4 linked regions of the Saccharomyces cerevisiae S288C genome follow. The protein of the gene in region 1 binds, or shares a complex with, the protein of each later gene. Each region holds a gene or a part of one and is shown in the gene's direction. Other genes may lie near its edges. The genes, in order: DEP1, SIN3, TOD6 and SDS3.

What was found.
Region 2: the proteins of DEP1 (region 1) and SIN3 are in contact, whole or in part, in a cryo-EM structure (PDB 8HPO), measured with the Saccharomyces cerevisiae proteins. Residues at the interface, in NP_009389.3 of Saccharomyces cerevisiae: Asp297 (codon at 3,295), Val299 (codon at 3,301), Ile300 (codon at 3,304), Pro301 (codon at 3,307), Asp302 (codon at 3,310), Val303 (codon at 3,313), Asn304 (codon at 3,316), Tyr305 (codon at 3,319), Tyr322 (codon at 3,370), Leu356 (codon at 3,472), Ile359 (codon at 3,481), Arg362 (codon at 3,490), Met363 (codon at 3,493), Asn366 (codon at 3,502), Asn367 (codon at 3,505), Ile369 (codon at 3,511), Ser370 (codon at 3,514), Leu372 (codon at 3,520), Glu373 (codon at 3,523), Gly374 (codon at 3,526), Lys377 (codon at 3,535), Tyr378 (codon at 3,538), Phe379 (codon at 3,541), Phe382 (codon at 3,550), Pro383 (codon at 3,553), Gly384 (codon at 3,556), Ala385 (codon at 3,559), Pro386 (codon at 3,562), Leu388 (codon at 3,568), Asn389 (codon at 3,571); in NP_014639.1 of Saccharomyces cerevisiae: Pro643 (codon at 3,684), Ser644 (codon at 3,687), Val648 (codon at 3,699), Val649 (codon at 3,702), Pro650 (codon at 3,705), Glu651 (codon at 3,708), Pro652 (codon at 3,711), Thr653 (codon at 3,714), Glu654 (codon at 3,717), Pro655 (codon at 3,720), Ile656 (codon at 3,723), Glu813 (codon at 4,194), Tyr817 (codon at 4,206), Tyr820 (codon at 4,215), Val835 (codon at 4,260), Asn836 (codon at 4,263), Glu839 (codon at 4,272), Lys869 (codon at 4,362), Val870 (codon at 4,365), Tyr871 (codon at 4,368), Asp872 (codon at 4,371), Arg875 (codon at 4,380), Glu878 (codon at 4,389), Ile879 (codon at 4,392), Glu885 (codon at 4,410), His886 (codon at 4,413), Thr890 (codon at 4,425), Pro892 (codon at 4,431), Val893 (codon at 4,434), Leu895 (codon at 4,440).
Region 3: DEP1 (region 1) and TOD6 share a complex: the UniProt entries of both Saccharomyces cerevisiae proteins name them as parts of the RPD3C(L) complex.
Region 4: the proteins of DEP1 (region 1) and SDS3 are in contact, whole or in part, in a cryo-EM structure (PDB 8HPO), measured with the Saccharomyces cerevisiae proteins. Residues at the interface, in NP_009389.3 of Saccharomyces cerevisiae: Arg197 (codon at 2,995), Gln198 (codon at 2,998), Tyr201 (codon at 3,007), Gln204 (codon at 3,016), Leu205 (codon at 3,019), Leu208 (codon at 3,028), Gln209 (codon at 3,031), Leu212 (codon at 3,040), Cys215 (codon at 3,049), Leu216 (codon at 3,052), His220 (codon at 3,064), Glu222 (codon at 3,070), Tyr226 (codon at 3,082), Tyr227 (codon at 3,085), Ile230 (codon at 3,094), Ala231 (codon at 3,097), Arg234 (codon at 3,106), Lys237 (codon at 3,115), Leu238 (codon at 3,118), Ala241 (codon at 3,127), Tyr242 (codon at 3,130), Arg244 (codon at 3,136), Gln245 (codon at 3,139), Glu248 (codon at 3,148), Leu249 (codon at 3,151), Cys251 (codon at 3,157), Ile252 (codon at 3,160), Glu255 (codon at 3,169), Thr256 (codon at 3,172), Thr259 (codon at 3,181); in NP_012182.1 of Saccharomyces cerevisiae: Phe32 (codon at 2,048), Tyr33 (codon at 2,051), Arg36 (codon at 2,060), Asp37 (codon at 2,063), Tyr40 (codon at 2,072), Leu44 (codon at 2,084), Leu47 (codon at 2,093), Asp50 (codon at 2,102), Leu51 (codon at 2,105), Leu54 (codon at 2,114), His55 (codon at 2,117), Gln56 (codon at 2,120), Gly57 (codon at 2,123), Gln61 (codon at 2,135), Tyr62 (codon at 2,138), Gln65 (codon at 2,147), Val66 (codon at 2,150), Leu69 (codon at 2,159), Glu70 (codon at 2,162), Arg73 (codon at 2,171), Glu76 (codon at 2,180), Leu77 (codon at 2,183), Leu80 (codon at 2,192), Glu84 (codon at 2,204), Arg87 (codon at 2,213), Val88 (codon at 2,216), Ser91 (codon at 2,225), Gly92 (codon at 2,228), Glu94 (codon at 2,234), Phe95 (codon at 2,237).

What each region holds. Positions count from the first base shown.
Region 1 is NC_001133.9:126,864-130,987, forward strand, and holds DEP1 (Rpd3L histone deacetylase complex subunit DEP1), read left to right. Parts: upstream 1-2,406; coding exon 2,407-3,624; downstream 3,625-4,124. Other genes in the region: bifunctional N-glycosylase/AP lyase NTG1, read right to left, coding at 40-1,239; SYN8 (syntaxin), read right to left, coding at 1,389-2,156; cystathionine gamma-lyase CYS3, read left to right, coding at 3,936-4,124. UniProt on the Saccharomyces cerevisiae protein: Component of the RPD3C(L) histone deacetylase complex (HDAC) responsible for the deacetylation of lysine residues on the N-terminal part of the core histones (H2A, H2B, H3 and H4).
Region 2 is NC_001147.6:315,181-322,947, forward strand, and holds SIN3 (transcriptional regulator SIN3), read left to right. Parts: upstream 1-1,757; coding exon 1,758-6,368; downstream 6,369-7,767. Other genes in the region: TOP1 (DNA topoisomerase 1), read right to left, coding at 1-207; DNA-directed RNA polymerase II core subunit RPB11, read right to left, coding at 633-995; palmitoyltransferase PFA4, read right to left, coding at 6,678-7,767. UniProt on the Saccharomyces cerevisiae protein: Catalytic component of the RPD3 histone deacetylase complexes RPD3C(L) and RPD3C(S) responsible for the deacetylation of lysine residues on the N-terminal part of the core histones (H2A, H2B, H3 and H4).
Region 3 is NC_001134.8:115,063-120,037, forward strand, and holds TOD6 (Tod6p), read left to right. Parts: upstream 1-2,526; coding exon 2,527-4,104; downstream 4,105-4,975. Other genes in the region: type 2C protein phosphatase PTC3, read left to right, coding at 1-106; YBL055C (3'-5'-exodeoxyribonuclease), read right to left, coding at 511-1,767; SAS3 (histone acetyltransferase), read right to left, coding at 4,317-4,975. UniProt on the Saccharomyces cerevisiae protein: Component of the RPD3 histone deacetylase complex RPD3C(L) responsible for the deacetylation of lysine residues on the N-terminal part of the core histones (H2A, H2B, H3 and H4).
Region 4 is NC_001141.2:201,235-205,213, reverse strand, and holds SDS3 (Sds3p), read left to right. Parts: upstream 1-1,954; coding exon 1,955-2,938; downstream 2,939-3,979. Other genes in the region: phosphopantothenate--cysteine ligase CAB2, read left to right, coding at 561-1,658; KTR7 (putative mannosyltransferase), read left to right, coding at 3,171-3,979. UniProt on the Saccharomyces cerevisiae protein: Component of the RPD3C(L) histone deacetylase complex (HDAC) responsible for the deacetylation of lysine residues on the N-terminal part of the core histones (H2A, H2B, H3 and H4).

The sequences.
Region 1 (4,124 bases):
TGCTTTCTTTTCTTTTCTTTTTTTTTTTTTTTACCACACTTAGTCCTCTACTTTAACAGAAATATCATTTTCCAGTTTGACCATAGTTTCTTCAACTGTTTTCTCCTCGTGTTTAACATTGATTTCCGCCTCCACGTTCAGTTCACGTTTTCCTTCCAGGTATTTCACCCACTTTGGATAACTCATGATATTTTGCTGGATTTCCTTGTACAATTGAGACTGCAAATCCCAATCTAAGGAGCTTCTGGGATCATCCGGTGGCAAGAATTGTAACATGTCACCAAGGTTCCTCGATTTAGTGATTATTTGTCCAAATCCAACCAGCAACCCATTTATTTCTGTCCAAAGCCCCTTAGGCAGCCAATTTTGTAATTGAGTTCTTGTCTGATCTGGAGTCTTGCATTTCTGCGCATCTACCCATTTCCAAAGCTTGGTCAATCTATCCACGTGAACGTCAACGCAGATACCTTCAATCTTGCCCCATGCCTTTTGTAATGTTAGATAAGCCATTTTGGGCCCTACACCGGGCAGGCCCAATAGCTCATTAATCGTAGCTGGAACATCACTCGAAAACTGATCTTGAAGGATTTTGCAGGTTGACAAAATATACTTGGCCTTCCTTGTGTGGAACCCAACTGAATGAATCAATTCGTCTAATTTGGTCTCATTGATTTGTAAAACGGCCTCTAATGTCATACCTTCTTCGCTGTGCAGTTCGTCTATACAATACCGCATTATGTTAAGCATTGCCATTGCGGTAACTTCATCTTTTGTTTGCGATGATAGCATCACCCCAAGAAGGACCTGTAATCTGTAGTCCCTCGGTGATATCTGCTCTTTCGAGATACCACACTTAGAGGCAACCGTTACAGGAATGGATGATCCACCAATTATATCGACGGGGGCTAGAATCTTAGATCTCAGTACTCGCATTCTAGCGTATGTTTCTTGAAACTTGTAAGGGACTTTCGTCGAGGCCGGAGTGACAAGGATCGAGGGGTCCAATGGTGTGGCCCACCTGTTGGGCACATTGCCGTTTCTAACCACAATCCATTCGAAGTACTGCTTATTTGGCAGCGATTTAACCCAGTCGATATCCACGGGTTGAGGGACAACCTCTTCTTGTTTGATTTTGGTCCTTTTCTCCGGTAGGAGTTCTGATTCTGGCCCAGTTTCAGTCTTTACCAGCGGTCTTTTCCTCAGAATTGCCATAGATGAGTATTTACTGATCTTTTGCATATTTTTTTTTTTTTTGGGCTATAAAGTATATATAGATACAAATATATGATGAATCATTAAAGAGGAGGTTATTACTAAGTGAAAGAAAAAGAAAAAAAAAAAGATCAAAACCAAACTTCGTATTCGAGCCTAAAAAACAGAATATAATGTTATAATACTAATAGAAGCAACAGGAGCACCACTATCAGCACAAGAATAATCACGCAGTTGCCGTTATCCTTGAACCTAGAATTGTTAAAGCCATGCATGGACCGAGAGGCCCTGTTCAAATTCCTACCATTATTATCAATCAGGTTTTCTAAATCAACCAGCAGCGAGTCGTTCTGAGAAACGATCTCATTATTAAGGTCCAGCGAAATGTCATGAGTCCTCCCAATAGACTGAGACAGTGCGCCCAAGTGGGAATCTTGCTCTAACAACTGCTGTTGCTGGTTAATAAATAGTTCTTGGTTGGAAACCATGGGTTGTGGTGGCTGTGGCTGTGACTGTGACTGTAACTGCGATTGCAATGGTTCATCCTTGTATGGAGTATGCGTCGAAGGCAGCGGCGACTCCTCGTCTTGTTCATCGTCATCCTTATACATGACCGTAAGCTCGTCATCATTCTTGAACCGCACTTTTTTCAAAGACTCTTTGGACACCTCATCAGTATTTCTTGCCACCTGCTGTTGGAACCTATACAACTCCTTGTCAACCGCCGTATCAGGAATTTTGTCCAGTATGGTATTGTATCGGGATATTAGTTCATCATTGGGCGCACACTTCTGCAATAACTCCAATATTGAGCCCAATTGCCGTTTCAAAGTAACGTTATCGTTTGAGGTCGGGGCGAGCTTCAACACCGACACTAGCCTTGTTCTTTCTTCGACCAGATCAGAGAGCTGGTCCAGTTCATAACCCAGCTTCAACACATCCATACCGTGTGTGCTTACGCATCTATTTGCTGTCGTGAGATCTGTCTCTATGCTTTATTCGTTTTCCATTGTAAAGTCTCAGCATTTATTTCTTGTTCTTTACTTGTTTTTGCCCTTTCGGGTGATCAAAGTCGTGCTGGGAAATTTTATTCTTATAAAATGATTTTTAGAAATAATAAACTCATAACAGTGCAACGGCAAAGTACAAGGGAAGGAAGCACAGAAGCAAGAGGAGGCGCATCGATCGTGGCAGATGAGTCAGCAAACACCACAGGAAAGTGAACAGACCACAGCGAAAGAACAGGACCTTGATCAAGAGAGCGTGTTGAGCAACATTGACTTCAATACGGATTTGAATCACAATTTGAATTTATCGGAATACTGTATATCCAGTGACGCAGGAACAGAGAAGATGGATAGCGACGAGGAGAAGTCGTTGGCCAATCTGCCGGAGTTGAAATACGCTCCCAAGCTATCCAGCCTGGTGAAGCAAGAGACGCTCACCGAGAGCTTGAAAAGACCACACGAAGATGAGAAAGAGGCGATAGATGAGGCCAAGAAGATGAAAGTGCCGGGAGAGAACGAGGACGAAAGCAAGGAAGAGGAAAAGAGTCAAGAACTGGAAGAGGCAATTGACAGCAAGGAGAAGAGCACCGACGCCAGGGACGAGCAAGGGGACGAAGGTGATAATGAGGAGGAAAACAACGAGGAGGATAATGAAAACGAAAACGAGCATACAGCACCGCCTGCGCTGGTGATGCCCTCCCCCATCGAAATGGAGGAACAGAGGATGACTGCGCTGAAGGAAATCACCGACATCGAGTACAAGTTCGCGCAATTGCGCCAAAAACTATATGACAATCAATTGGTGCGGTTGCAAACGGAGCTGCAGATGTGTCTGGAAGGGTCACACCCGGAATTGCAGGTCTACTACTCGAAGATTGCCGCGATCCGTGACTACAAGCTACACCGAGCGTACCAGCGACAGAAGTACGAGCTTTCATGCATCAACACAGAAACAATCGCTACCAGGACATTCATTCACCAGGACTTCCACAAGAAGGTCACCGACCTGCGAGCCAGGCTGCTGAACAGAACCACGCAGACCTGGTACGATATCAACAAGGAGCGCCGCGATATGGATATAGTCATCCCAGATGTCAATTACCACGTCCCCATCAAACTTGATAACAAGACGCTGAGCTGTATCACGGGCTACGCCAGCGCAGCACAGCTGTGCTATCCCGGCGAGCCCGTGGCAGAGGACCTCGCTTGCGAAAGCATCGAGTACCGCTACAGAGCCAACCCGGTGGACAAACTCGAAGTCATTGTGGACCGAATGAGGCTCAATAACGAGATTAGCGACCTCGAAGGCCTGCGCAAATATTTCCACTCCTTCCCGGGTGCTCCTGAGTTGAACCCGCTTAGAGACTCCGAAATCAACGACGACTTCCACCAGTGGGCCCAGTGACCGCCACACTGGACCCCATACCACTTCTTTTTGTTATTCTTAAATATGTTGTAACGCTATGTAATTCCACCCTTCATTACTAATAATTAGCCATTCACGTGATCTCAGCCAGTTGTGGCGCCACACTTTTTTTTCCATAAAAATCCTCGAGGAAAAGAAAAGAAAAAAATATTTCAGTTATTTAAAGCATAAGATGCCAGGTAGATGGAACTTGTGCCGTGCCAGATTGAATTTTGAAAGTACAATTGAGGCCTATACACATAGACATTTGCACCTTATACATATACACACAAGACAAAACCAAAAAAAATATGACTCTACAAGAATCTGATAAATTTGCTACCAAGGCCATTCATGCCGGTGAACATGTGGACGTTCACGGTTCCGTGATCGAACCCATTTCTTTGTCCACCACTTTCAAACAATCTTCTCCAGCTAACCCTATCGGTACTTACGAATACTCCAGATCTCAAAATCCTAACAGAGAGAACTTGGAAAGA
Region 2 (7,767 bases), on another chromosome or scaffold:
CACTGGTTCGGTCTTTATTTTCTTAGTCTTTTTCTTGGAAATCTTAGAGATTGCCTCATCACTATCATAAGGTTCCGCTTCGTCTTGAAGAGAGGCAGAGTTCATGGACGCCACCTTTCTTTTTTTTAAAGTTTGAGATAATGGCACATCGTCATCGTCATCAGAAGACAACTCATGATTAACTTTGGAAGCATCAGCAATAGTCATTTTTACGCGTTTCAAGTTTCGAGCTCTGCCCTCCCTTTAGATTTTTTTTATTTGCTGTTTTAATACTATAAGAATAGGACTCAGGTAATTAGAGTAACAGAGAAAACAAAAAAGAATATTGCGCTCGTGTTAGTGTTGAAACAAAAAAATACAGTTGTTCTTTACGTGCATCGATCATATAAGAAAAGGGAAAAAAGCCGTAAAGTAAAAAAATAAAGAGCTTTCCATGGCTGGTTTTTTTTCTTTTTTTTTTTTTTTTTTGAAGACTACAGCAGGTATTACCCGGAGTGAAAAAGGTTTCTCACACTAAAATTTACGTGTTCAAGACATTGAAGTTATGTATAAATATATATGAGCGTATATTATGTGTATGTCCGTTTCCATTCTGTTTAGATTTTATGGCTATAGTATTAAACTCCTATATATCAAAATGCGTCGTCGGCGGCTAGAGTTTGCAGGTTCCACTCGGTTTCGAAATTTGTCTTCAGGGCGCCAAGCTTGTTAATGATGCTGTTACAGGCGTTTTTCAAGGCATCCTTCGGGTCGTAGCCCTCGGTGGTCTGTATTCTCAGCTTGAAACGAGCGAAGAAGGGATGCTCAACCTTGTAAGCGGCAAACAGCACTTTTCTGTCGTTCAGAAGTTCTGCACGAATCAGGTTTCCCAACGTGTGGTCCTCCTTCTCAAACGTTATCACTACTGCGTTGGGGGCTTTGGTGTCGGGGTCAATCTTTAGCTTGGATTCCCCTTCACCCAGAAGGAACAGTTCGAATCTGTCTGGAGCATTCATGATGCAGTTGTGTCCAAATGTATCTGGTTTGGTGGCTACGTAGCTATCTATTTAGGCTGCACGGCTCAGTTCTCTCGCTCTTCTTTTAACGGACCTCTTGTGTGTGCCAAAGCAGTGAACCTAGAATTTTCGCGGACACTTCCACTTTATTAAGTCCGGGTAATGATAATATTGAGCTTGCAAGTTTTTTGAACTCGGATAGCAGCATTATCCATGACATGACACGGATCTACCGACGAGGCTTACCGACGAGGCTTACCGACGAGGCTTACCGTGATCCCTCTCCAGTAGTCTGTAAATTCTGTTTATAATTTAAAAAATCTATCTTCTACTCCAGTCTTGTAACTACTGTTGTTACGCGCTGCCCAGAGTGTGGCACACACTGCGGGGTTACCCGTGTAACGTAGAATAAACCAGTACGGGTAATGATATCGGATTTTCTAGTGATTTTTTTCCATTCGCAAAAAAGTCGCCTTCATTTTGCAGTTCTTCAGCAAACGTGATTTGCAAAACAACGGTTACTCCCCTTCCCTATTACATTTGTCTTCCCTTTTTCGCACCAGCATTGCTAATATTCGAGGCACCGTACCTAACTAATCAGCTCATTCACGTACCACATATTCTTTGTTACTTCCCTCCCTCCACAACAGGCTACGCTATTGACCGCTTTCAGTATAGTCTCTTTACCCTTTTGTTGTGTTCGTTTGAGGTTATTTGGAAAAGGACAAAATATCTAAGAAACAAGTTATACATTGTACAAAAATGTCACAGGTTTGGCATAATTCGAATTCGCAATCAAACGATGTGGCTACTTCAAATGACGCTACGGGTTCCAACGAAAGAAACGAAAAAGAACCGTCCCTCCAGGGAAATAAGCCCGGTTTTGTTCAACAGCAGCAACGGATTACTTTACCCTCGCTATCTGCCTTGAGTACTAAGGAGGAAGATAGAAGAGATTCCAATGGCCAACAGGCTCTAACTTCTCATGCTGCTCACATATTAGGTTATCCTCCCCCACATTCAAATGCTATGCCCTCAATTGCAACTGATTCAGCATTGAAACAGCCCCACGAGTATCACCCTCGCCCTAAATCTTCGTCCTCTTCTCCCTCTATAAACGCTTCGCTTATGAATGCTGGTCCAGCTCCCCTCCCCACAGTGGGAGCCGCCAGTTTTTCTTTGTCGAGATTTGACAATCCATTACCGATAAAAGCTCCTGTTCATACAGAGGAACCAAAAAGTTATAATGGTCTTCAGGAAGAAGAAAAGGCGACGCAACGGCCTCAAGATTGCAAGGAAGTTCCCGCTGGTGTGCAGCCTGCTGATGCCCCTGACCCTAGCAGCAACCATGCAGATGCTAACGATGACAATAATAACAACGAAAATTCTCACGATGAAGATGCTGACTACAGACCTCTAAACGTGAAGGATGCCCTATCTTACCTCGAACAGGTCAAATTTCAATTTAGTTCGCGTCCGGATATCTATAATTTATTTTTAGATATTATGAAGGACTTTAAATCTCAGGCAATAGACACACCGGGCGTTATTGAAAGAGTATCCACTTTGTTCAGAGGTTATCCAATTTTGATTCAAGGGTTCAATACTTTTCTACCCCAAGGCTATAGAATCGAATGCTCCTCTAATCCGGACGACCCCATTAGAGTTACTACACCAATGGGTACTACGACAGTAAACAATAACATCAGTCCATCTGGTAGAGGTACAACGGATGCACAGGAACTTGGTTCTTTTCCAGAAAGCGATGGAAATGGTGTTCAACAGCCCTCCAATGTGCCAATGGTGCCTTCGAGTGTGTATCAATCGGAACAAAACCAAGACCAACAACAATCTTTGCCTCTTTTAGCTACTTCTTCTGGTTTACCTTCAATTCAACAACCTGAAATGCCTGCACATCGCCAAATCCCACAAAGTCAATCTTTAGTGCCTCAAGAAGATGCTAAGAAAAACGTTGATGTCGAATTTAGTCAAGCCATAAGCTACGTTAATAAAATTAAAACTAGATTTGCCGACCAACCTGATATTTACAAGCATTTTCTGGAAATACTACAAACTTATCAGCGAGAGCAAAAGCCAATAAACGAAGTCTACGCACAAGTGACGCATCTTTTCCAAAATGCTCCTGATTTACTAGAAGATTTCAAGAAATTCTTGCCGGACTCTTCAGCTTCTGCCAATCAGCAGGTGCAACATGCTCAGCAACATGCTCAACAACAACATGAGGCCCAAATGCATGCACAGGCACAAGCTCAGGCTCAGGCACAGGCACAGGTGGAACAACAGAAGCAGCAACAGCAATTCTTGTATCCAGCTTCGGGCTATTACGGCCATCCTTCTAACCGAGGTATTCCACAGCAAAACTTGCCTCCTATAGGAAGCTTCTCGCCTCCAACAAACGGTTCGACCGTACATGAAGCCTATCAGGATCAACAGCACATGCAACCACCCCACTTCATGCCCTTACCATCGATCGTTCAACACGGGCCAAATATGGTACATCAAGGGATAGCGAATGAAAATCCACCTCTATCAGATCTAAGAACGTCTCTCACTGAACAGTACGCTCCTTCTAGTATACAACATCAGCAGCAGCACCCGCAAAGTATTAGTCCTATAGCAAATACGCAGTATGGTGATATCCCTGTTAGACCGGAAATTGATTTAGATCCTAGCATTGTGCCTGTGGTCCCTGAACCCACTGAGCCCATCGAAAACAATATATCGCTTAATGAGGAAGTCACTTTCTTCGAAAAGGCCAAGAGGTATATCGGCAATAAACATTTATACACTGAGTTTTTGAAAATTTTAAATTTGTACTCTCAAGATATACTTGATCTTGACGATTTAGTGGAAAAGGTAGATTTCTACTTGGGTTCCAATAAAGAACTATTTACGTGGTTCAAAAACTTTGTTGGCTACCAAGAAAAAACCAAATGTATCGAGAATATTGTTCATGAAAAACATAGATTGGATTTAGATTTATGTGAGGCATTTGGCCCAAGTTACAAGAGGCTACCAAAAAGTGACACTTTCATGCCATGCTCAGGTAGGGATGATATGTGTTGGGAAGTCTTGAACGATGAATGGGTTGGACATCCTGTATGGGCTTCCGAAGATTCGGGATTTATTGCTCATCGTAAAAACCAGTATGAGGAAACACTATTCAAGATCGAAGAGGAAAGACATGAGTATGATTTTTACATTGAATCAAATTTAAGAACTATTCAATGTTTGGAAACAATTGTAAATAAGATCGAGAACATGACTGAGAATGAAAAAGCCAATTTTAAACTGCCTCCAGGTCTTGGCCATACTTCAATGACTATTTATAAAAAAGTGATAAGGAAAGTTTATGATAAGGAAAGGGGGTTCGAGATTATTGATGCTTTGCATGAGCACCCTGCAGTGACAGCCCCAGTCGTTCTGAAAAGGTTAAAGCAAAAAGACGAAGAATGGAGAAGAGCTCAACGTGAATGGAATAAAGTTTGGAGGGAGTTAGAACAGAAGGTTTTTTTCAAGTCATTAGATCATTTAGGCTTAACATTTAAACAGGCTGACAAGAAATTATTAACTACAAAGCAGTTGATATCAGAGATTAGCAGCATCAAAGTTGATCAAACAAACAAAAAAATTCACTGGTTAACTCCTAAACCAAAGAGCCAGTTAGATTTTGATTTCCCTGATAAAAACATTTTCTATGATATCTTGTGTTTGGCTGACACTTTTATAACCCATACCACAGCCTATTCTAATCCCGATAAAGAAAGATTGAAAGATTTACTAAAATACTTCATCTCTTTGTTTTTTTCTATTTCTTTCGAAAAAATCGAAGAATCGTTGTACTCCCATAAGCAAAACGTGTCAGAATCTAGCGGATCTGACGATGGCAGTTCTATTGCATCAAGGAAGAGGCCCTATCAACAAGAAATGAGTTTACTTGATATTTTACACAGGAGCAGATATCAAAAGCTAAAGCGTTCTAATGATGAAGATGGCAAAGTTCCCCAGCTCTCTGAACCACCCGAAGAAGAACCTAATACCATTGAGGAGGAAGAGCTCATCGATGAAGAAGCTAAAAATCCGTGGCTAACTGGGAATTTAGTGGAGGAAGCAAACTCTCAGGGTATTATCCAAAATCGCAGTATTTTTAATCTATTCGCTAATACGAATATTTACATATTTTTCCGTCATTGGACAACGATTTATGAGCGGCTTTTGGAAATTAAGCAAATGAATGAAAGGGTCACAAAGGAAATCAACACAAGGTCGACAGTTACTTTTGCCAAAGATCTAGATTTATTATCGAGTCAACTTTCCGAAATGGGACTAGATTTTGTTGGTGAAGACGCGTACAAACAGGTTTTAAGACTGAGTAGAAGGTTGATTAATGGGGATCTTGAACATCAGTGGTTTGAAGAGAGTTTGCGGCAAGCTTACAATAACAAAGCGTTTAAACTCTATACAATTGATAAAGTCACCCAATCGTTGGTAAAGCATGCTCATACCTTGATGACTGACGCTAAAACTGCGGAAATAATGGCTTTGTTCGTTAAAGATAGAAATGCCTCCACCACGAGTGCGAAGGACCAAATTATCTATCGCTTGCAGGTGCGCTCACATATGTCCAACACAGAAAATATGTTTAGAATAGAGTTTGATAAAAGAACTCTGCATGTTTCCATTCAATATATTGCACTTGATGATTTGACACTAAAGGAACCAAAGGCAGACGAAGATAAATGGAAATATTATGTAACATCGTATGCTCTGCCACATCCAACAGAAGGCATTCCGCACGAGAAACTGAAGATACCATTTTTGGAAAGGCTCATCGAATTTGGACAAGATATTGATGGAACAGAGGTAGATGAGGAGTTTTCCCCCGAAGGCATCTCTGTATCGACATTGAAAATTAAGATCCAGCCTATAACCTACCAACTGCATATTGAAAACGGGTCTTACGATGTTTTTACCCGTAAGGCTACTAACAAATATCCTACTATTGCTAATGATAATACTCAAAAAGGAATGGTTTCTCAGAAGAAGGAGTTGATATCAAAATTTCTAGACTGTGCAGTTGGTTTGAGAAATAATTTAGATGAGGCTCAAAAATTAAGTATGCAAAAAAAATGGGAGAACCTAAAAGACAGCATAGCAAAGACGAGTGCTGGAAACCAGGGAATAGAGAGTGAAACCGAAAAAGGTAAAATTACGAAACAGGAGCAGTCGGATAATTTGGACAGCTCTACTGCAAGTGTACTGCCTGCATCCATTACTACTGTACCACAAGATGATAATATAGAAACGACTGGGAATACTGAATCTTCAGACAAGGGGGCTAAGATTCAATAAGTAGTTTTAACTAGATTTAGAACAAAAATCTTTAGTACGACAGGGTCTTTCTTCTGATGTGTACCTTTAATTAATGTCAACGATATAACATTGTAATTTTAAAATTCTAAGTGTTTTTGAAGCTTTTTAAGACACATCGATCTTTCCATAAAGGAAGAAGTGATAACATGCAGTGGTTATATTTGTGTACTCATACACTGGTGCATGAATCTTTTTACACGTCATTAGCATAGTATGTAATCGAAAGGACACTATTTATAAGGGACAGTTTATACATACATATACTTGATATTCCCATGAATGAGTATTCTATTCCATATCAACATCCACTCCAAAATCGTCTAGTGATTCACCCCAGTCGTTGTACCACTTCTCACGAGAAGCATGTCTGCCATTTTGAGGAAGTCTGGTCCTTATTAGCTGTTCGCCACTTTCATTACGCATCTCTATTGTTGAGCTGCCATGATTGAAGACGGTGTTTGTTTTACCTCCATCTGGTGGCCAGGGAAGTGAAAGGATGTGGTCTTCCAATGAGGAGTTAGCCTCATATTTTGAAATACCGTTTTTTGGAAAATTGTTCCCATCTCCCGTAGGAACACCATATGGCCATAACCATAAATGAATGGGACCAAGGTACAGTAATGCATTAGTGTACAAATCAAAATCGTAAGGGAAATTTACAAGTTCATCAAAACGTGGCCTTTTTTTTGTCAAGTGTTCCTCAGCATCCTTTTTATTTTGAAACGACCTCGACTCTGGATATATTCTCCAAGTATTATCAATTAATTTCTGAGTTAATCTTCCGGAGTTGAACAAAGATTCTAGCCGATCCATATCCCACGACTCAATTTGAGATCTTCCATTCAAGATTTGATTGAATAAACATCGTAGGAAAAGAATTGTTATCGTTAGTAGGACAAAAGAATTTAAAGGACTCGATATTGTTAAGAAAATCAGTTCTGATTTTTTGAAGAAGTAGCCAGGCAAGTGCCTTTGTTGCCAAATAAAATATATCCGCTTAGCTTGTATGCAAAATAAAACACTAGTCGTCACTATGATCCAAAATAAGAATCTAAGGAAATGCGGATAGTTTGCAAAGCCGACGCAATTCATCGTCCACGGACAATGATGATCCATCATTAGGACGCATTGATTGCAGGTTTTACAATGATGTGAACGTTCTGGCTTATAACTTTGGCACTTCTTACAGAAATTCCGCCAGATATCAGGGGGTGGTTTGTAGTTGGGCAAAGGCCTTCCTGGATTTGTGCAGATGGCCAAGTAATAGGAGAGCCATATCATTGACAAACAGAACTCAAATGTTATTTGTTTCGGAACTGACAAGAAATTGGATAAAATAAAGTAGTGTGCACCATAGCCTATAAATGAAATCAGAAAC
Region 3 (4,975 bases), on another chromosome or scaffold:
AGAAACAGAACCTAATGATGCTGATGATAACGATGATAACGACGGCGAAGAAAACGGCAAGAATGAAAATGCGAAGAAGGGTTCCAAGATTGAAGAAATTGAATAATAAATATTGTCGAACCGTACTTTGCAACGAAAGAGTAGTCAAACTTTGTTATCTTTATTTGTTATTCCTCTTCTGCCGATGGATTGTTTTTTACTGGATCATCTTTGCGGCCCATATTGAGGAGATGGTGAAATTCATAAAAATCATTACGAGAGAATGATAAATTGTAACAGAATTTATAAATCCTATTCATATAGATACATCTGTTTTTCCTTACTCTGTTTTTATTTTGTTGGTAACCTTTGAATCCTTTTTGATGAAAAAAATAGAAAAAAAAAAAAAAAAAAAATGAAAGCAATATCGACTGTATGTATATGCGCACCATAATTTTCCTATTAATAGTTTAAGCATAATTAGTGTACTTACTAAAAATAATGTAACTTTGCTCTTTGCACCAATAGATGTTACTCTCCAAATATCTTACAGGTCGTCTTCCACGTGGTATCTATCAAAGTAGCCAGATCCACGTCCTTGACTTCCGATACGACAATTGCTACTTGTTCCATATTACAAGGCTCATTACGGCCCTTGACCATGTAAAGTTCTTCTGCATTCAACTTGTCAGCGAGCTTATTTTTCTTAACGGACTTGAATGCAGGGTATTCGAAATCCCTAACCTCCTGGTATTTGGCTAAGTACTGGAAAGATGCATGCGTTCTTTTAATCTCACACCACGGAGCATCTGTCTCTAATAACAACCTTTCTGTTGGTATTTGCTTTACAACAGCTAGATTTTCCTCGGTTCTCAACGAGCAACCGTTTACTCCTATGAAGATGTTGGGTGATAAGTTCAGTAATTTCTGCAAATCTATCGCAGAACCAGTGAATGAATGGACCACTAGTTTTCTATCTGGATGAAATTTGTAAAACCCGCTAGACGACGATGCACCTAACTTTTGTAGCTGAAAGGTATCCCTCTCATCAGTGAACCCGGCAATAAATCTTTCCAATATTTGAACAAAATCGTCACATGCGCTTCTCATATGCAGAAACAATGGATAGCTGCTGAGTTTATCGTTCAAACAACTTATTTTCAGTTGCTCTTCAAAAAAAACCTTTTGCATCTCTTTAGAACTATAGTGAAATCTGTCGTAGTCCAACCCGATCTCACCAATTGACCTGAAACTTGTATCATGAGGTTTTGCTTGCTGATTCATCAAATCATAAAGCTCTTTCAGTTTACCCTGTGCAAAAGATGGATTACTAATAACTTTAGCATATAGAGACTCATTATATGCTTCATCCATGGAAGGGTTATCAATAGAAGCGCTAGCCTTGTCCCCTTGACTAGCATCCGCAAACTCGTTAACGCAACATGGGTGAACACCTATTGTGTGATACAGCTTTAACGGGCTAAGATCTTTGACGCTGCTTACCAACTCAATGGCACTTTGAGACTCCGCTATGGATGATCCTGTAACAAGGGCATTTTTCACGTGCCTCTGAGCAGCACGCTCTAATAATTTTACATAATCTGCTGGATGGTACTGCTTACCATTGTAAATACCGTGAAACATAGGATCTGTCAGATTCAATCCAATATCATAGTATTTCAGCGGAGAATCCGTGGCAGTTGATGTCATGCTATAATATTGTGTCAAAATTGGTTTCCAGAGCCTAGAACAACTTTTGTTCGAGGATTTCAATAAGATGCCCCACATATAACTATAACAGTACTGGCGCCTCAAAAAAATGCCTTGGCAGCGAAAGTGTCCACCTTTAGTTGTCCATTGCTACCAGGACATCACCACTGGGCCCTTCCAGCATGCTGGAAAGATTGTTCTTAGAAGAGTGCTGTTCTAAGTAACCCGGCGTTAGTAGGGGCTAAGCCTTCTAGAAGGCCGGAAAAGGCTCAGAAATGCCTGCAGTGCAAAGCTTTTCAGGAACGTTACTAGCGCAAGTCTTCTGGCTGCTGTTTAGCAACCTCTTTGCAGGTATTTCGCAGCGGGATTTCGCAGGTGTCTTGCCTAGCGTATCAACACTTAGTAGCAGTTAGGTTCTAAAGTTAAACTCCACTTCCGTTCTTCTTCGAGTTCCTTTTTGAGCGGTTTGGCCTATCTTGTCTCATCATCTTGTTAGTGTGCGACGTTATCTGTGGGTGAGAGAGGCTATTTTTGGTCCGGTGAAAAAAAAATTTTTTCTCTGCTGAGAGCTGAAATTTGAAAATTGAGATGAGATGCGATGCGATGAGATGCGAGACCAATGCGATGAGACACTTTTCTACTTCCTTACACAGAAGTCGTGTATAGTTTTTGTACGTTGATATTAATAAAGGCTTTTCATATCATTTTGTTTTCAGGTAAACAAATCTGGCAAATCTCCACTGCTTGAGTCATTAAAACTACTCACTCAAGAAGGCATATACACGACAGTGGGTAGAGAAAAGAATATATCACTGTTCTTATTGAAGTTCCCTCGCGATGACGTTGCCGAAACTCAGTAGCGTTTCTGTTTCATCAGGACATGTTAGTGCCAACTCACATGGTTTCTCAATACTAAGCAAACACCCTCACCCAAATAATCTTGTCCATTCCCACTCACTTTCTCACACAAATGCGAAGAGCCACCTGCCTATCAGTAGCACTAGCACTAAAGAGAACAGCACGAACAAGGAGGAGGCGGAATCACTCAAAAAAAACAACCCCTCTTCTTGGGACCCTAGTGATGATATCAAGCTCCGCCACCTGAAAGAGATCAAGAACTTGGGCTGGAAGGAGATTGCACATCATTTCCCAAATAGAACTCCTAACGCTTGTCAATTCAGATGGAGGAGACTGAAATCAGGCAACTTAAAGTCTAACAAGACCGCAGTTATTGACATCAATAAGCTATTCGGCGTGTATGCGACTGGTGATGCTACCCCATCCGCGGGTACTCCGTCTGCGGAAGAAGCCGTAAAAGAGGAAGCTGTTGAGGATGAAGATATTACTGCAGGTTCTAGTGCTATCGAGGATTCTCCACCGGATTTCAAGCCATTAGTTAAGCCTAAATACATGGACAGAAAACTGATAACTCAAAGATCTACATCAACATTTTCGGACCATGAGCCACAACACACGAAACCAAGGAAACTGTTTGTTAAGCCAAGGTCCTTCTCTCATTCTATAACAACCAACACGCCTAATGTAAAGACTGCTCAGCAGACAAATCTAAGCCTTTATAACACTACTTCAGCAAAGACAAATAAAGCTGTTAATTCCAATGATTATGAGAATATTGGTCTTGTGCCTAAAATTATTATCAGGTCTAGAAGGAACTCCTTTATTCCTTCAACTCAAATCCCTCATTCAACGACGAAGACTAGGAAAAACTCGCATTCCGTAATTTCTTCTAGAAGATCATCTTTTAACATGATGCATTCAAGAAGATCATCCTTCAACTCTCACGCTCCTACGGAGCCTATTTCTAGAAGAGCTTCCTTGGTAGTTAGCCCGTATATGTCACCCAGAAGGTTATCTACATCGCAATCCGTTCATTATCATCCACAGCACCAATACTATCTTAACCCCATAGCGTCTCCCAACTGCAAGACAGACCACGCAAATGACAAAATCACGCACACGAGGACTTTCTTAGATATGCAAAAATTCGCTAATAAACACCCGTGGTCTAGAGAAGATGATGAAGTGCTACTTAACAATACGAAGGACAAACAAAACCATTTGTCGCCGCTAGAAATTTCTATTGTTCTGCCTAATAATAGATCCGAGTTGGAAATCCAACAAAGAATGGATTATTTAAAGAGAAAAGGACGTGTAAGTGGTTTTCATACAAATGAAGGATGCAAAGACGAGGAGGAGGAGGATGACATTGACCCACTGCACAAGGAGAATGGCATTAACACGCCATCGCAGCAATCGCAAAATTACGGTATGTTAGAGGCTAAACATGATAATCCAAAGTCTAGTGAGCTTTCTTCTATGACCAGCGCAAATGACATACGCAATGAGCAAGATGAACTTCCAGGTATAAATTCTATCTTTAAAAATATATTTTAAGCTAAGAGACGAATTTAGTTTGTTTTGACTATTCGTTTAATGAGTACAAATTAATCGCACCCACACATGTACACACACACATATATATCTTTATATATACACATAAAATTTATTCGTAGGAGAATTCTGTAATACTATTGACTACAAGGGTTCTTATTGCTATTAATAATGTTACATGTATATGCTTATATCCAATATATACCCATCGCCGCTTATTCTTCGTCATCCTCTATTAGAGTTATTTTTCTTCTTTTTCTGACTCTCTCCTTCCTTATGTGGCTTTCTATATCGTTTTCATCCTGCTCTTGTCCTTTTCTCTTCCCATCCTCATCATCATCACTGTCTTCTTCATATGTGTCTTCCTCCTCATCATTTTCTTCTGATATTTGCTCATCCTCAATGTCATCATCAAGGGTAAAGTCTTCGTCTTCGTCTTCATCTTCTTTGGCGTTTTCACCTACATATAATTCAGTATCTACATCGTTTTCTACTTCATCCTGCTCTAAACTTGATATTCCAGTATCGTTTCTCCTAGCTGCATGATTTCCAAGTGGTGTTTCGGAGTTTTTAATAGTGAAGCAGAGCTCCCAATGAGTTTCTGTACTAAATTTTGATCTTGGTATCCCTTTGCGATCATGGATGCTTTCCAGCACTCTTTTTTCCGCTTGATAGATTAATCTATCATTATTTGTGTTCTTATAATCACACATATACTCTGTTAAGGAGGAAACAGTGTCTTCAAAAAAATCAGTAGCAGGTACTTCCGGTTCTATGATATTGTTTACATGAAGCTTGGATGTTTTGTGCTCACTACTTCTTCTTCTTCTTCTTCTGCGTTTATTATGTGCTCTACTGTTGTTATAGTTTTCTA
Region 4 (3,979 bases), on another chromosome or scaffold:
ATGATATGGAAAAACGTATACCAGTGCTACAAACCCTGTTAACAATTAAATTCTTATTACTTCTTGCACAAAGATGCTAACACTTTACAGCTTTGAAAGTAACAGGAAGAAGTGATGCTGTGACAATTAACAGGGTATTTTTTTTTTCACTTCTACTTAAATCGGAGTTACAATTTATGATAAAAAAATCAAGAAAAAAACCTGATTATGCTAAGAAAGTAGAGGCGACGATGACCACCTATGGCCTAACCTAACTATGAACAGATGGTAGGCTCTAAATTGCGTGCCTGAAATCTGCGGATTTGATATGTAGGCGATGTTTTGGGTATTTTCCACCAACTTTATTGGCAAGGGAAGAATTCGATGACCCGAATTCGCCAAACGACAAAAACTGGAGGAGTGACCTATTGTTAACGTTTTTTTTTTTTTTTTAAAGGCATTGTCATCAACAGGACATCTGTATAAGAGGCTAAGACAATTACGCACACAACGCTTTTATTAGTTGTCATAAACTGTGTAGATTAGCAGCAGACACTCCTTTTTTTCTTCATACTATAGCAATGCCACCTCTACCCGTGCTCAACAGACCTCAAATTCATACGTCTGTTACTGAAATAAGTCATGCAATTGATCGTACAATCAAGGAAGAGCTCTTTCCCGTTGCCTACACTACTGAAGAAGAGCAATATTTCAAAACTAACCCTAAACCTGCCTATATCGATGAATTGATTAAGGACGCTAAAGAGTTTATTGATTTGCAGTATTCCCTGAAAAGGAACAAAATAGTTCTTATCACCTCTGGTGGTACTACTGTTCCATTGGAAAACAATACAGTACGTTTTATCGATAATTTTTCTGCAGGTACTCGTGGTGCATCGAGTGCTGAACAGTTCTTAGCGAACGGATATAGTGTTATTTTCTTACATAGGGAATTCTCATTAACTCCGTATAATAGGTCCTTCTCCCATAGCATTAATACTTTATTCTTGGACTACATTGATTCTGAAGGTAAAATCAAACCTGAATTTGCTGAGAATGTTTTGAAGAACAAAAAGCTTTATGACAAGTATATGGAGAAAGAGGAGAAACTACTTTTACTACCATTCACCACGGTCAACCAATACTTATGGTCACTGAAAAGTATAGCCAAGCTATTGAATAATAGTGGTTGCTTGTTTTATTTAGCTGCTGCTGTCAGTGATTTTTTTGTTCCATATTCAAGACTACCTCAGCACAAGATTCAATCAGGAGACAACGGTAAGATGGGAGCAAATAATGACACTGAAGGTACAACTAGGACTACGCCTGATGGTAAACTGATTGTGAATCTTGACCCTGTCCCTAAGTTTTTGAGAAGATTAGTGGAATCATGGGCCACTCAAGCGATGATCGTTTCGTTCAAATTAGAAACTGATGAATCCATGCTGCTTTACAAATGTACACAAGCCCTGGATAGATACAACCATCAACTGGTTATCGGAAACCTTTTACAGACAAGAAACAAACAGGTCATTTTCGTATCCCCTGAAAACAGAAAGGGAGATTGGGTACGTTTGGATGAAAAACACCATAGCATTGAAGAGATGATAATCCCAGAAGTCATCGCACGCCATGACAAATGGGTGGCGCATTCGAAAACTAAGCTAGCTACGAAATAAAACATAGCTCTTGTCTGTAATCAAAAAAATTTGCGTCAAAAAAAAAAATTAGATGTATGTAAACCTTTTTATTGAACTGAAAATTTATCTTTTATCAAATCTTTTTCTTCTATGCCTTAATTATGTTTTCAGGTATCTTTTTTCTCATTATTTAATTTAGCTTATGTATTGATCATTTCGCTTGAGATTTCAGGAAGAAAAAACGCAAACAATTTTTCAGCTAAAATGAACCCTTGGAAAAGCTTTAAGAGAACAAGAGAAACTGTAGAGCTCAGTGTGCATTGTCTTCAAGATTGATGGCTATTCAAAAGGTTAGTAACAAGGACTTGTCCCGCAAGGACAAAAGAAGATTTAATATCGAATCTAAAGTTAATAAGATTTATCAAAATTTTTACTCAGAAAGAGATAATCAATATAAAGATAGACTGACAGCATTGCAAACGGATTTAACTTCTCTGCATCAAGGTGATAATGGCCAATATGCCCGCCAAGTACGAGATTTGGAGGAAGAAAGAGATCTAGAGTTAGTCAGGTTGCGCCTGTTTGAAGAGTACCGTGTTTCTCGTTCCGGTATCGAATTTCAAGAAGATATTGAAAAGGCTAAGGCTGAACACGAGAAACTCATTAAATTATGCAAAGAAAGACTGTATTCGTCTATAGAGCAAAAAATAAAGAAATTACAGGAGGAGAGGTTACTAATGGATGTGGCCAATGTGCACTCCTATGCCATGAATTATAGCAGACCGCAATACCAGAAGAACACGAGAAGTCACACAGTAAGTGGTTGGGATTCTTCGTCCAACGAATATGGAAGAGATACAGCAAACGAAAGTGCTACTGACACGGGAGCTGGAAACGATAGAAGAACGCTAAGGAGAAGGAATGCTTCTAAAGACACGAGAGGTAACAACAACAATCAAGATGAATCTGATTTTCAAACTGGTAATGGTTCTGGAAGTAATGGCCATGGTTCTAGACAAGGGTCGCAATTCCCCCATTTCAACAACCTAACCTACAAGTCAGGCATGAACTCTGACTCAGATTTTCTACAAGGTATAAATGAAGGTACTGATCTATATGCATTTTTGTTTGGCGAAAAGAACCCCAAAGACAATGCTAATGGGAATGAAAAGAAAAAAAACCGTGGTGCTCAACGATATTCCACCAAAACAGCTCCACCTTTACAGTCTTTGAAACCAGATGAGGTCACAGAGGATATTTCCTTGATCAGAGAATTAACAGGTCAGCCTCCGGCTCCTTTCAGACTAAGGTCTGACTAATTTATTTTATGCTGCAAACCTTCCACTTTAACTTTGTATTATATTACATTAGATGGTTATATTTCAATGTGAGCTCTTTTTGTTTTTGCTTTCTTTTCTCGGATACAAGTGGAAAACGAAAAAAAAAAATTGGCTAAAATTTACTGTATACATCAGGCTAACAATCTGTGATTATAGGCACAGTTGTACCAAAGAAGGGCTAGAATATACATCATAATTAGATGCAATTAGCATGGCTATAAGATTGAATCCAAAAGTCAGAAGGTTCTTGCTGGATAAGTGTCGACAAAAACGATATGGTTTCCTCTTTTTAGGATGTATCTTCGCCATACTTTACTGTATGGGGACCTGGCCATTTTTCGCAAAAGATATTGTACATGATCCAAATAATTTGCCTTATTCCTTACAGGATTATTCGACTGACAAAGACGAGCCATTTTTCCGGGGCTGCACTGATACAAAGCTGTACTTGCAAAATCCTGCTTACTCCAAAATGAACGCATCTTTCGTTATGCTAACGAGAAACGAAGAAATAGAAGACGTACTGAAAACTATGAGAAGTATAGAGGGCCATTTCAATAAGTGGTTCAAATATCCGTACGTTTTCTTGAATGATGACCCCTTTACAGATCATTTTAAGGACCAAATTCAAGCTGCAACTAATGCCACTGTAGAGTTTGGCACTGTTGATGAAATTATGTGGGAGTTTCCTGCTAAGGTTCGTAATTCATTGCAGTTTAAGGCTTCATTAGAAGACCAAAACGATCGCGGTATAATGTATGGTAATATGGAATCATATCACAAGATGTGTCGATTTTACTCCGGGATCTTTTATAAACATCCATTAGTTTCCAAGTATGAATGGTATTGGAGAATAGAACCTGATGTGGACTTTTTTTGTGACATCTCGTATGATCCCTTTTTCGAGATGGCCAAACATAACAAGAAATATGGGTTTACCGTACTTATAACTGAACTGTACTGGACTGTCCCCAACTTGTTCAGAACAACCAAAAGCTTTATAAAAAAAACGGCAGGTTT